Coturnix japonica: one gene and its partners. The main gene of each other region encodes a partner of the protein of the gene in region 2 in a complex. Links are inferred from orthologs where the notes say so. Each region holds a gene or a part of one and is shown on either strand. Other genes may lie near its edges. The genes, in order: USP46, WDR20 and WDR48.

Region 1 (3,648 bases), on a different chromosome or scaffold from region 2:
ACATTCATATTTCATCACCTTTTAATTCATTTTATTGTTTCCCAAAGATTTCGAGGTACCATAATAAAAGAAAAACATAAACAACTGTAGAAATATACTGGGCAGAACACCATATTTCTGCATTCAGAGGAAGCTTAAGACATGCTTTCCTACAGCAGCAGCACTTTGTTCATTACAGTTTGACTGAGCAAACATAGGATGTTAATTGAGAACCAGGCCACAAATGTTTGAAGAAGCTTGTCTGTCAAAAAAATCCTATCATTCCACTTTTTTTTAAGTCTTGCTACTACTCTGTGAGCTATCATAATAGAAATATACTAAAGAATTAATTTTCAGTCTCTTCCTCTCACATTTTCTCTGTGACAGCCTTGTTCCAGATTTGGTCCACCCCATTTCCCAAACTGATTGTCACTTTATCACTCTTCCCTGTCCCTGAACACAAGCTCCCAAGAAGTCATTTTCTTGGAGTACAGTGTTATCATTTATGATTAAAGAATATCAGGATATGTTCTTCTAGACTTTTATCTCACCTAAATTTGGCTGCCTAGAGATAGACATTAAACTTCAGCCTGCTGTTGGAAGATGATTTCTCTGGGCACCTCCTTCCACCTTCATGCAGATAATCTAAAGCTGTGTTTTCTTTAGAAAAGTTCCACAGTAGCAATACTAGTCTGAGTTGGAAACATTGTTCTTAGGAGAGATCAGTTTGTTGGCCCGATTTACAACACTGCTGCACAAACAATTGCAACAGCTCAGTGCAAGGACTGGAATGAGAACAAGCTGTACTGTGTAGATGGAATACCTGATACTGCTCAGACTTTTATCTCACAGAACAGCCTGGAGACAGATGGAGAGAGATTCCTGAAGAAGATCCTTTGCAAACTCTATCAGCTATAGAAGGTGCTGAGAAAACTAGTTCATCCTTGACACCTCCCTTTCACAAAGCAAAAGTTAGGTAAGATTTGCAAACTAAGTTGCAATCTTCTGAGACTTCAAATATAAGAGACTTCCACCATTCTTTTAAGAATGTTTCAGAAGACAAAAGAACACATACGGTTTGTTAATAATAAATCCTTTGTCAGCCACATTCTTCAAAATGAATGAATGCAAATCCATCTTAATTTTCCACTGGTTCTTGGAATAACAATGCAAATACCTTCTCCTGAAGTTACAGTGGTAGAGAAGGATACCGATTAATTAGCAGGGGTTCTAAGTGTAGAGTTACATGTTATGACAGCCAGACTTGGCAAAGGCTAGCCAAGAAACACCTAGAAAAATAAATTTTTAGAAAAGAATATACTCACTTCAAGAAGTAAAGTCTACAGGAATATCCACAATTCTCAGATGTCTGAAAAGATTCATATATTATACATATAAAATGTATCTATCTATTAAAGGGCAACAACCAAAAAACAATCTATCCCAATGCTTACGGTTTCACAGTTCAAACATCTAGTTTCGTTAGTCAGTGTTCCCTGAAAAATCTCATGCACCCAGGTGAGTTCTTGCTTATTGTTCTCTTCAGCTTCGTTCATGTTGCCATTTTTCAGCTTCCCGTTTTGCTTCTCCTGTTTCTTCTCCTCCTGCAAAATGTCGGCGATTGTATTCAGCAAGTAATTTAAAAACTCGTGGGCATCCTGCTGCATGTAGTTGTCAAAGAGATCTGTGAAGAAGAGAGTCAAGATTTCTACAGCTCAGTATACCTTTTATTTCAAGAAATCAAACTAAAACCACTGTTTTCCGAATCCTTGCTCAGCAAAATACTTAGAATTGTGCCAAAGAAAAGTACACTGGATTCAGAGAAGCTGCTTTGAGGGAAGGCTTCATCTCACATAATTTTAGTGTGTCTAAAAGACCAGGGTTGTATTTGGAGTAAGCTGTGTAGGCTCCCATTACAGTCAGTGAAGAAAGCAAGAGGGTGGTCCTCAGTGCAGCCAACTATCTGTGCCCACTGTACAAGAAAATCTGTGACTACAAAGGCAACTTACATTCATTCTTTACACCCACTGCTTAACATTAGGCATTACTGATTCCCACCCATACATTCTACATCACTGAGTTTGGACAGTGCAACACTTGGCTGGGGAAAATGAAGATGCTGGATGCAAACATATAGTATTAATAATAATGTCATCTGACAAAGCTTATTTTTCACACACAAGTCTGATGAGGACAGACTTCTCTTTCATACAAAATGCTTTCTGGAGCATAGGCTACCCCAGTGGTGATGAAAAACAGGCTTCTTCCCTAGTGGAGGCTTAACTTGCCCACCATGCTGAAGAAAAACAATTTGCATTCCCAAGAAATGTGTGTTTTTATTCCTCTACTCCTGGAAAAAGCCCACATGGATTTCCTCATAAATACTGTACAGTTCTCAGCTTTGCAGCAGCCAGCCTGAACACAGAAGCACATTAATATATCCCAAATCTGGCCCTAATTTGAAAAAGCTGAAAACATAAGACCCGGTCCCAAAAGGTGATCCCAGCAGTGTAGGGGCATTTATCACTAAGATGATTTGGAGCTGACTTTGTCACTGTTTACAATGCCTGCTTTGCAATGGACAGTCTGCCCATTTACATGCTGTCACCAGGAGGCAATTTTTCCCAGGTGTTAACTCACAATTCTTTCTTCTCTTCATTCAAAGCTCCCTTGTTTCCAAGCACAACACCCACACTGATATGAATCCAGGCTGAAAAGGAACTGTGTGGCAGGCTTCCTTACTTCAAGACATTCCTACCATCCCTTAGGAAGAAACACTAAAAGATCAGGCATATACTGTTGCCAGTGTGGTGCTCAAAAAGGGGCTGATGCTTTGCAAAGTCAGACTGCACCCAATGCTCCTAGGAACAACAGCAGTGGCTGACATGCAGTCCACTGAAAAACCCCCCAAACACATTTTCCTGCCCTCCAGGGTGTTTTGGGCTTGTAAATGCCTGTAGCCCTAGCAGGCCACAATGCTTTAGTACTGCCAGCTGCCCGCAGCGTTTCTCTCTGCCATGCCACATTAAAAGTTAGAAAAAAACTGGGGCAGAATGCCACCCTCTTCCCAGCCTTAGCTGACTGCTTAGTGTGATCTATCATACCGTGCACTAAATGACCTCTGAGAACTCAGGAAATCTGGCGTAGCTATTTCAAGCATAACACTGAGTAACAGCTACTATAATATTAGTATCTAAAACCAAAAAACTGCTAAAAGTCCTTTCCAGACCTAACCTGACCACCTGACTAATATGACCACCTTACCCAATGTTTAGATTTCCCTGATCAGCTTACAGATATCTAAGAGAATTCCAGTTCCACACTTACCGTTCTCTTTTCGTAACCTTGATATGAACTTCTTTGGTGGAATAACTCCGACTTTCTTCTTCTGAGTAGCAATACTGTGGAAAAGATCTGCCAGGCAAGTCAAGAGGTTTTCCTTCTTTTTCTGTTGGGCCTTGTATGATAACACATTTTCCCGAAATGGCCGGCAGAAATACAATGCCTGCAGCACGGAGTTACAGTAGCAGGTGTTTCCAAACTGCCATGTAAAAGCAAAAACAATCTTAATCTCTGTACATCACAAGAAACTACTCAACATCTGTCTTCTGTGACACAGCCATTTTGCCAGGTGGCTGCTGTAGGAATATATTTCCACACCCATCCCAA
Region 2 (4,176 bases):
TTCCCTCCTGCTCTGCATTTCCTGTCCCCTCTGCCTTACACATTTCTCATTTAAGTCATTTCACCTTTGAATCACAGAATCAAATTAGTTGGAAGAGACTTGCAAAGGTCATCTAGTCCAACTCCACTGCAACAAACAGGGACATCTACAGCTCAATAAGGTGCTCAAAACCTTTTCCAGCCTGACCTTGAGTGTCTCCAAGAACAGGGCATCCACCACAACTTGGGCCAACCTGTTCATAAAAACCTGTCCTTATATTTGAAGGGAGTACCTGCTTGTCTTTCAGAAATGGCTCATTACAAGGTCAGAAAAACACAGCTGGTAAAGGATGTAGCAGTAGGTACTGACAGTAGAAAAGAGGGAGGAGGACAACAGCTATTGGAGCAGCTACATCAGAGCAGATCAGCTAGATGTGAAATAACCTTGAAAGCACATTGTTACAAGGCAGTCTGACTGTGCTGCTCTTCCCACAGCTGCACACTTCTAACTTCTCCCTTATTTTGGCTCTAGCAGCTGCGATGATGGGATCAGCTCGGTTGCCAACCAACAACTTGCTTCTCATTTCTGCATGCAGGGCGCTTCTCAGGCTGATCTGACTCACCCTTTGGTTGCATGATTACTGGAACTGATTCAAGGGAGGCAATGGAAATAGGTACCCAAAGACAGAGAGGTCAGATGCATTTCTACACTAGAGATCAGTCTCTGATTAGTTTAAGCCAACCACAAGGCTGATGCAGTTACCAGAAGGCACAGCCTTGCCTCCCTGGGGAAAATAACCCTTTCAGCCCGTTCCACTTCATCCCTCACACAGAGGAGGACATTGACCTGCTTCACAACAACGTGGTTTACGTGACAACCCGTTTTTCCAGTTAACAAACGCTCAGCGGGGCCAACTCCCCAGCCTGGCACCTTAGGCACAGCCTGCCTTTATAGAACCATAGAATCGGGACAGCGGTGGGTCGACTGGAAACATCCACCTACGGCTGCGCGTTGATATTTATTCCCTTTTCACCGCTCCAACACAGGCAGCTCCTACACAAACCCCCTGTACTCCCCCTTCTCGCCGCCGCCATCTTGAGCGCCCCTTCACGGAGCGCCCCCTCCCCCTTCCCGCCAGCCCCGCCCCTCCCCGCCCAGTCCCGCCCAGGCACAGGCCGCCCGGCGCATGCGCGGAGGCGCAGTAAACAGCGGCGGCCGCTCCTCCCCCTTACGCCGTTTGCGTGGCCGGCTCCGCGCAGCGCCGAGCGAGCGCCGGCGGCGGCGGCGTTTGCGCAGTGGAGCTACATCCGGGCACTGGGGCAGGATGAATGCTCCTTTCCAAGATGGCGGCGGAGGGAGGAGGGAAGGAGATGAACGAGATTAAGACCCAGTTCACCACCCGGGAGGGGCTGTACAAGCTGCTGAGCCACTCGGAGTACAGCCGGCCGAACCGGGTGCCCTTCAACTCGCAGGGCTCCAACCCGGTCCGCGTTTCCTTCGTCAACGTCAACGACCAGAGCGGCAACGGGGACCGGCTCTGCTTCAATGTGGGCCGGGAGCTCTACTTCTACATCTACAAGGGGGTCCGCAAGGTACCGGGGCTCGCCCGCCGCGCTGTGGGGCTCAGGGGCCTCCGCGCCGCCCACCCGCCCGCTGTGGGGCCGCCCGCCGAGGGGCCGCGGGGCCGCGTCGTGGGCGGGGGGCGGCGGGACCGCGGGGTGACGGCGGCACGGCCCGGCACGGCGCTGCACGCTCAGCCGCTGGGGCAGGGGGAGCGTAGGGCCGGGCAGGAGGCTGGAGCCCGCTGCTTACCGGGGGGTATGGCACGTTCCGTGTCGCACCCGTAGGTGCGTGGGGAGGTGGGGAGGGGTGGGATCGCTTGGGCCTTGCTCGCTGTGCAGGAATGGGGGCAGGGTTTCCGACAGCGAAGGGGACTGCGAGCCTCCTTCACTTGCTGCTTCAGGTCGGAGGTTGCTGGGAGCTAATGCCCGCCGTGATTACGGCGGTGTCAAATCCCCGCGGTTAGGGCAGAGAAAGGCTGCCGAGCTTCGGGCGGAGGGCTGCAGGATTTGCTGTCATATTAGGCCTGTCTCATACCTTTGAAGTGCAGGCTGATTTCAGGGTTGTTCTTAAATGGGAGCAGTCTAGAGAGCTGAGTTTTAAATGTCAGGTAATTAACGCAGAGAAAGTTGTTTTTACGGAAGACGCTCATTGGTGCGACTTGAGATAGACTCTTTAATGGTTAACGTTTGATGAGGGACTTATAGTTTATGCGTTTGATGTTTCAGGTCATCGTGTTTATGAATAAATCCTTTCTACTAGTTGTTTCTTAGGGTCGTTGTCTTTATGGCATTTAGAAGAGCATTTGGAACTTGTCATACAGTATGAACGTGTGTCACTCAATATATGAAAACACAGATGTAATGATTGTTAGGCTTCTGATTTATGTTTCAAGAAATGGGTGTTTGTTATCTCGTATACTTGAAACTTAGCTCCCTTAAGGTGAGTCCTTTCAAGCCTCCCTGCCTTTAGTCCAACATACAACATGGACTAAGTAGGTGGAGGGCTGGTGATGCACCCTGGACTGTGCAGGAAGCCTGTAGGTGAGGCTACATAACAGAGTCTGCAGGCTGCTAAGCAAACACCCAAATCACTGCTCCTCTGCAAAATAGAAGCATCTACAGGAGAATTAAATCTACCTCATTATCTGCTTACTGTGACTTGACAGATCTGATATGTTCTGTATAATGGTCTGGGACTTGGTTTTGCACTGTAGTGAGTTCTCTTAACCTAGTTGTCTTAAGTAACACTTAGTCAATATTTCTTGAAGCGTGTCATGAGATATCAAACGTTTTCTAAGCATTTGCTGTCTTTACTGTTTACAAGATATTGTGACAATATCTCTGAAAATCAAGTATTTAAACTATTGTCATGTTTGTGTTCTTATATCCTGAGCTTGTGTTTTTCCATACAAAGTAACCGCGGAGTTCTCTTGCGTGTTACAGAACAGGCCTTTACGTAGTGTGGCAATGGTAGGTGTGATTCTTGCATATTGTCTTAATCATCTCTTGCCACGCTTAAAATAAAGAGAATTGAAATCTGAAGCTTGGGACTGCACTGGAAATAGGGGACTGAGTAACTTTTCAAATTGTAGAATTGATTTTGAGATTAATGTTTCAATATATTTTTTTTTCTGGCTGCTAAAAGCTGCTTTTGTGCTACACAGTAATGGAGAAAATGTTAGTTTGTCAGATTGTGAACGTAAGAGCTTTGTGATATACCTGTTATAGCATTGCATGTTATTTTCCTCATAGTAATATAAAATTATATATATATATATATATATAATATATAAAATGTATGCATTGTTCAGAATTCATTTCACTCAGCTCTTAAAATGCCGACAAATGAAAATATACTTAAATCTTTTTCTGTAATATGCTAAATTCTGTAAAATTAATCTTGAGAAATAGCTGGAATAAGCTAAGGAAAGTGTTTAAAATCAGACTAGAAAAGGTGGGCTGTCTTTAACTTGTAATGGTTGTTTCTTTGGAATTTATTTTGAAACTATTCATTTGAAAGATGCTTTTGTCTATGTGCAGAGTTGAGAGAAGAAGGGGCTGACACTTTCAACTGATGATTGGAGTTTTCTAATGTAAAAGGTTACCTATTTTCTGGCTATAGTTGCAGGAAGGAGCAACTGCTACCTACATTGATAGTATGTAAGTCCATCTTAAACTGGACGAACTATGCATGTCTTCCTTTGCTTGGCAGTGGAGCCAGGGGAGGGACTTGCTCCTCTGAAGACCAAAACATTTGTGACCCTCTGCATAATACAAATGTTAACAACTTCTCTTTTAAGTTATTTCACCGTTACTGAGGTGTCTCTTTAAAATGTTCCGTAATAACTTTCAGAGTATAATTTTCATGTTGGTGAAGCTGTTAAGATAGTAGAGTACAAGTTGAAGTTAGTGCTGTGTCAGGTAGCTAAGACTGTGTCTTTTATTTTACTTTTCCAGAGCAAGAACAGGAGCAAACTTTAAGTGTTATATTTTTAATAAAATGAGTGAACGAATCACCAGGACTTTGAAGGAGGAGTGTCTGTCTGATGCTGAGATAATTCTTGTATCACTCACCTATTGCAGATCAGTACATGGCAAGCAGGAATCAAACTGGAGCCATGAACGACACTTAATG
Region 3 (3,648 bases), on a different chromosome or scaffold from region 2:
AGCTGTTCAGCACCTTTTGACACAAAACAATTTCAAAGGCAGTAAATTACATTAAAAGCCATGATGCATGGAGAACTGTAAGACAGCAAATCAAGCTGTAACTGTTAAAGAAACAGAACAATAAAAATGTAAGAGCATATCTCAAAGAAAGAAAACATTCAAACACTAACTGTGATTTATTTCGTTTTCTTCCTCATCCATTGGATTGATGTGTGTTCTAGGCCAGTACTCCAGAAGCGCTTGCAATAGAAGCCCTCCAAGGTTCACTGTCAAGACACAGCAAGAACTTCAGTTACATCAAAAACACTGACTTAAAACATCCTACATTTGATCTACGGATCCAAGCAAACTAGTTATGGGCACAGACATCTGCTTATCACAAACTCAAAACTGCAGGCTATAACCTTTTAGAAGCTGATTTTTCAGTCACAGAATCATTGCTGCTGGTTCAATCACTTAATTCAACATTCTGATAGTAGCTGATAATAGCTCTACATTTTGAAATATCACTTTCTCCCACTTCCTTCCTGGATGTCTAAAACCAAGTGTAATGCTATAATGGGATGATAATAGCAGGGTGGCAAAGTCTTTGGCTACAGCAAATGAGAACAAGCCCAAATACAGAAGCTACAGATGCATAAATGAAGAGCTTCTTACCTTTGCAAGGTATCTCAAGTAGGCAGGGGATCTCCAGCAAGAGATGCCCTCACCTCCACTGCCAGCTCTTATATGAGGTGTGGGAAGGGGTGGATCCTGGCTCCAACCCTTCCAGTCACTCAGCTGTTGGGTGGCCCTGCCTTCTCACCAGGTGCTCAATCACTTTTTCAGGCCATGACTTAACATTTCCACTACAGCAAGTTAAAAAGAAAAAACTACTCGAATATTTCAGGATAAAATTGTATATATTTTCTTTGGAAAACTTGTCAAAATTTAGTCTCAAGGAAATCTCTCTCTAAAACCCAGACAACAACTGACTTATCCAACAAACATTCTGTAATGTAAGTACCGGAATTTGTTTTGATTTTATATTTCAGTGAAAGAGCAATACTAGTAAAAACGTACATTTTGGATCAGAACCATCTGGACTGCTGAATCCAGCATCTTTTGCTGAAACCCAGGCTGCAAAGCAGTCGCTTTCATCCAATGTAATTGTCAGCATCTGTTGGAAAAAGACCATGAGCAAGAAAAATGCAATAGTTGTATTGTATTAAACAAGTCTACAAATTTACTGAAGGAACAGCTAGGAATACAAAGCAAAAAATGAATTCCTAACAGTCTTGTGGATTTCAACTGACACTACAGTGTAAAAGTCATACAGATTATTAAGAATGGAGGTACAATGTATTGACGTGCTTCAAAATAAGTCAAGCTCATCAGATAAATGATAAGTTCTTCAAAACTTAGAACAAACTATAATCATTGTGAAGAAATAGTATACAAAGTATAATTAAGTATGACACCAGAAGAAGAGATTTAGGGTTTGTATCTCACCCCAGTTTTCAAGTCTACTGAGAACCAGTTTGGCACATACACCATTTTAAATCTCTTCTTGATTTCCTCTTCAAAATCTACTTTCCCAAGGTCTTCAACTTTACATGCCTGTACAGAAAAAGGAATACAGAAATTTCTCAATTCTGCACGTTGAATCATAACCACTCTTAAAACCTTTTACTTGATTTTCATATACACTCAAAATTATTATCATTTCACCACAATTAATTTAGTATAGGAATACACAAGTTAAAGCTTCAAGTTTTTCACCATAAATTGAAGAACACTTTTTTTTCCTGAGGTAACATTATCAAGCCAACAGAGAAGGAAAAGAAAGAAAAAGTGAATCTTAAACAAGACAACACTCAGACTTGGTGAGTTACCCATCTCTATAGTGAGCATGTATGCAGATGTATCTAAGAAAAATTGCTGAAAACCCTAATAACAAAAGCTGAAAATAACTAAATGAAGGTACCAAATTAACATTAGCACCTGACTTTGGCCCTAATATTATTCTCAAATATATACCAGTGGTAAACCAAAATAAAACATTCACTTTTCTACAAGTCTTCTGAAACACTTTCAGTACAAATCCATGTTCTTCATTCTCATTCCCTTCTTTTTCACTACAGTCAGCAACTCAGTAAGACAACTGATTGTGTTCTATTAAGGGTCTGAATTTAAAGCAAATGAAGATGTTATTATCCAGCCTAATGTTGAGAGAAGAAGCTCTTAGGATGCAGAAAGGCTCTATAATGTTCTTTCCTCTTTCAGAGAAGTCATCTTTGCTTTATTGTCTTAGGATAGAAAACTGACTTATTTTTCAACCAGAAGAAACTCCCACACCAAAAATAATATGTCAAAAACAAACAAACAAAAAAAACCCCACAAAATAATTACTGATCCAACATTAGATGTTTAATCTAAAATTATGTACTTACTTTTAAGACATCCCAGTATGCCACATTATTATTTGTGTCTTTGGTTAATATGTGCCTCTTGTCATTAAGAATGTGGCATTGAATGATACTAGCACCTCCTGCCAAACAAACAAGAATTAAGGTCACTACACTAATCTTTTTGTCTAGCTTTACACTAAATTAAACCAACTAACGACAGGAATGACTGTTCTTTGGTTTTACTATATTACACAAGAATCACTAATATCTAAACGTTATTCAACCATAACTAATACTACATAAATGATACTTGTGCTGTCTTCGATTTTATTTATTGTGATTTTGCCCAACATAGAGATAATTTTCTCTGTAGATGCACATACAATGCTGTATTTTGGATTTTTGATGGAAACAGTGGTGATAGCAATGTTGTTTTCATTTGCTGCAGAGCAACACAGAAAGTTGTTATAGAACAGTCCTTAATCACAGCCAAGGACTTCCCTTCAGTAATCAAAGTGTCAGATAACTAAGAATGTGAGCTAGTCGTAAGGATCTACCATTTCTGCTAATGATAACATTTCACAAACACTCAGGAAAACAGCTGTTTACCTTTTATGACTTGGTCAGGCTGTGTACATAGGGGTGGTATAGGATTGGTACAATCATTATCATAGTCCCCAGATGCTCTAAAATTATGTATTCCCTTCAAAGTCTAAAAGAAGCAAACAAAATAAGGACACGTTTGTAATCATTTTAAAAACTTCACTTCTATAGAATCATAGAATGGCCTGGGTTGAAAAGAACCACAATGCTCATCTCAACCCCCCTGCTATGTGCAGGGTCACCAACCACCAGACCAGGCTGCCCAGAGCCACATCCAGCCTGGCCTTGAATGCCTTCAGGGATGGAGCATCCACAGCCTCCTCAGGCAACCTGTTCCACAGTGCATCACCACCCTCTGTGTGAGGGTTATCTTGGCTAACAAGTGCCAGTTCGTGCTGCTATTCAAATATTAACCATTCATTGTTAGCTATTTTATAAATAAAAGCAGCATAGACAGAAAAATAATAAAGTAATTCAAAGAAATATGTATCACTTACCCATTTATTCACAGAGGATTTAGTCGTTGCAACCCAAATTGCTGGAGGAGGATCAGCTGATCTATCAAGTTCCATCTAAATAATGGAATTATAGCTACTTTCAGTCACTCAATTTAACTTCGCTCTGTTTATGCACAGCTTATATACTGGCATTCATT

The links.
Region 1: the proteins of WDR20 (region 2) and USP46 are in contact, whole or in part, in a crystal structure (PDB 6JLQ), measured with the Homo sapiens proteins. The link is inferred for Coturnix japonica from reciprocal best matches to the Homo sapiens genes WDR20 and USP46. Residues at the interface, in NP_653175.2 of Homo sapiens: Asn41, Ser42, Gly44, Arg151, Lys259, Tyr261, Phe262, Gly263, Glu282, Asp283, Asp284, Leu285, His301, Lys304, Ser305, Trp306, Gln374, Asp375, Thr376, Leu509, Arg516, Met517, His533, Glu534, Arg535; in NP_073743.2 of Homo sapiens: Asn205, Thr206, Ser207, Thr209, His210, Arg213, Arg273, Val275, Phe276, Pro277, Glu279, Leu280, Arg281, Phe283, Asp293, Met295, Gln338, Glu342, Tyr344, Thr347, Ser348.
Region 3: the proteins of WDR20 (region 2) and WDR48 are in contact, whole or in part, in a crystal structure (PDB 5K1C), measured with the Homo sapiens proteins. The link is inferred for Coturnix japonica from reciprocal best matches to the Homo sapiens genes WDR20 and WDR48. Residues at the interface, in NP_653175.2 of Homo sapiens: Arg20, Ser364, Thr384, Glu385, Asp386, Glu524, Pro525, Leu526; in NP_065890.1 of Homo sapiens: Val191, Lys207, Gly208, Gly240, Gln241, Gln242, Arg243, Cys244, Ile245.

What each region holds. Positions count from the first base shown.
Region 1 is NC_029519.1:59,559,472-59,563,119, reverse strand, and holds part of USP46 (ubiquitin carboxyl-terminal hydrolase 46), read right to left. Parts: intron 3,521-3,648; coding exon 3,307-3,520; intron 1,664-3,306; coding exon 1,434-1,663; intron 1-1,433. UniProt on the Homo sapiens protein: Deubiquitinating enzyme that plays a role in behavior, possibly by regulating GABA action. May act by mediating the deubiquitination of GAD1/GAD67.
Region 2 is NC_029520.1:45,047,856-45,052,031, forward strand, and holds the start of WDR20 (WD repeat-containing protein 20), read left to right. Parts: upstream 1-1,229; 5' UTR 1,230-1,307; coding exon 1,308-1,571; intron 1,572-4,176. UniProt on the Homo sapiens protein: Regulator of deubiquitinating complexes. Activates deubiquitinating activity of complexes containing USP12. Anchors at the base of the ubiquitin-contacting loop of USP12 and remotely modulates the catalytic center of the enzyme.
Region 3 is NC_029517.1:4,663,660-4,667,307, forward strand, and holds part of WDR48 (WD repeat-containing protein 48), read right to left. Parts: intron 3,566-3,648; coding exon 3,491-3,565; intron 3,103-3,490; coding exon 3,000-3,102; intron 2,531-2,999; coding exon 2,433-2,530; intron 1,600-2,432; coding exon 1,492-1,599; intron 1,160-1,491; coding exon 1,063-1,159; intron 267-1,062; coding exon 171-266; intron 1-170. UniProt on the Homo sapiens protein: Regulator of deubiquitinating complexes, which acts as a strong activator of USP1, USP12 and USP46. Enhances the USP1-mediated deubiquitination of FANCD2; USP1 being almost inactive by itself.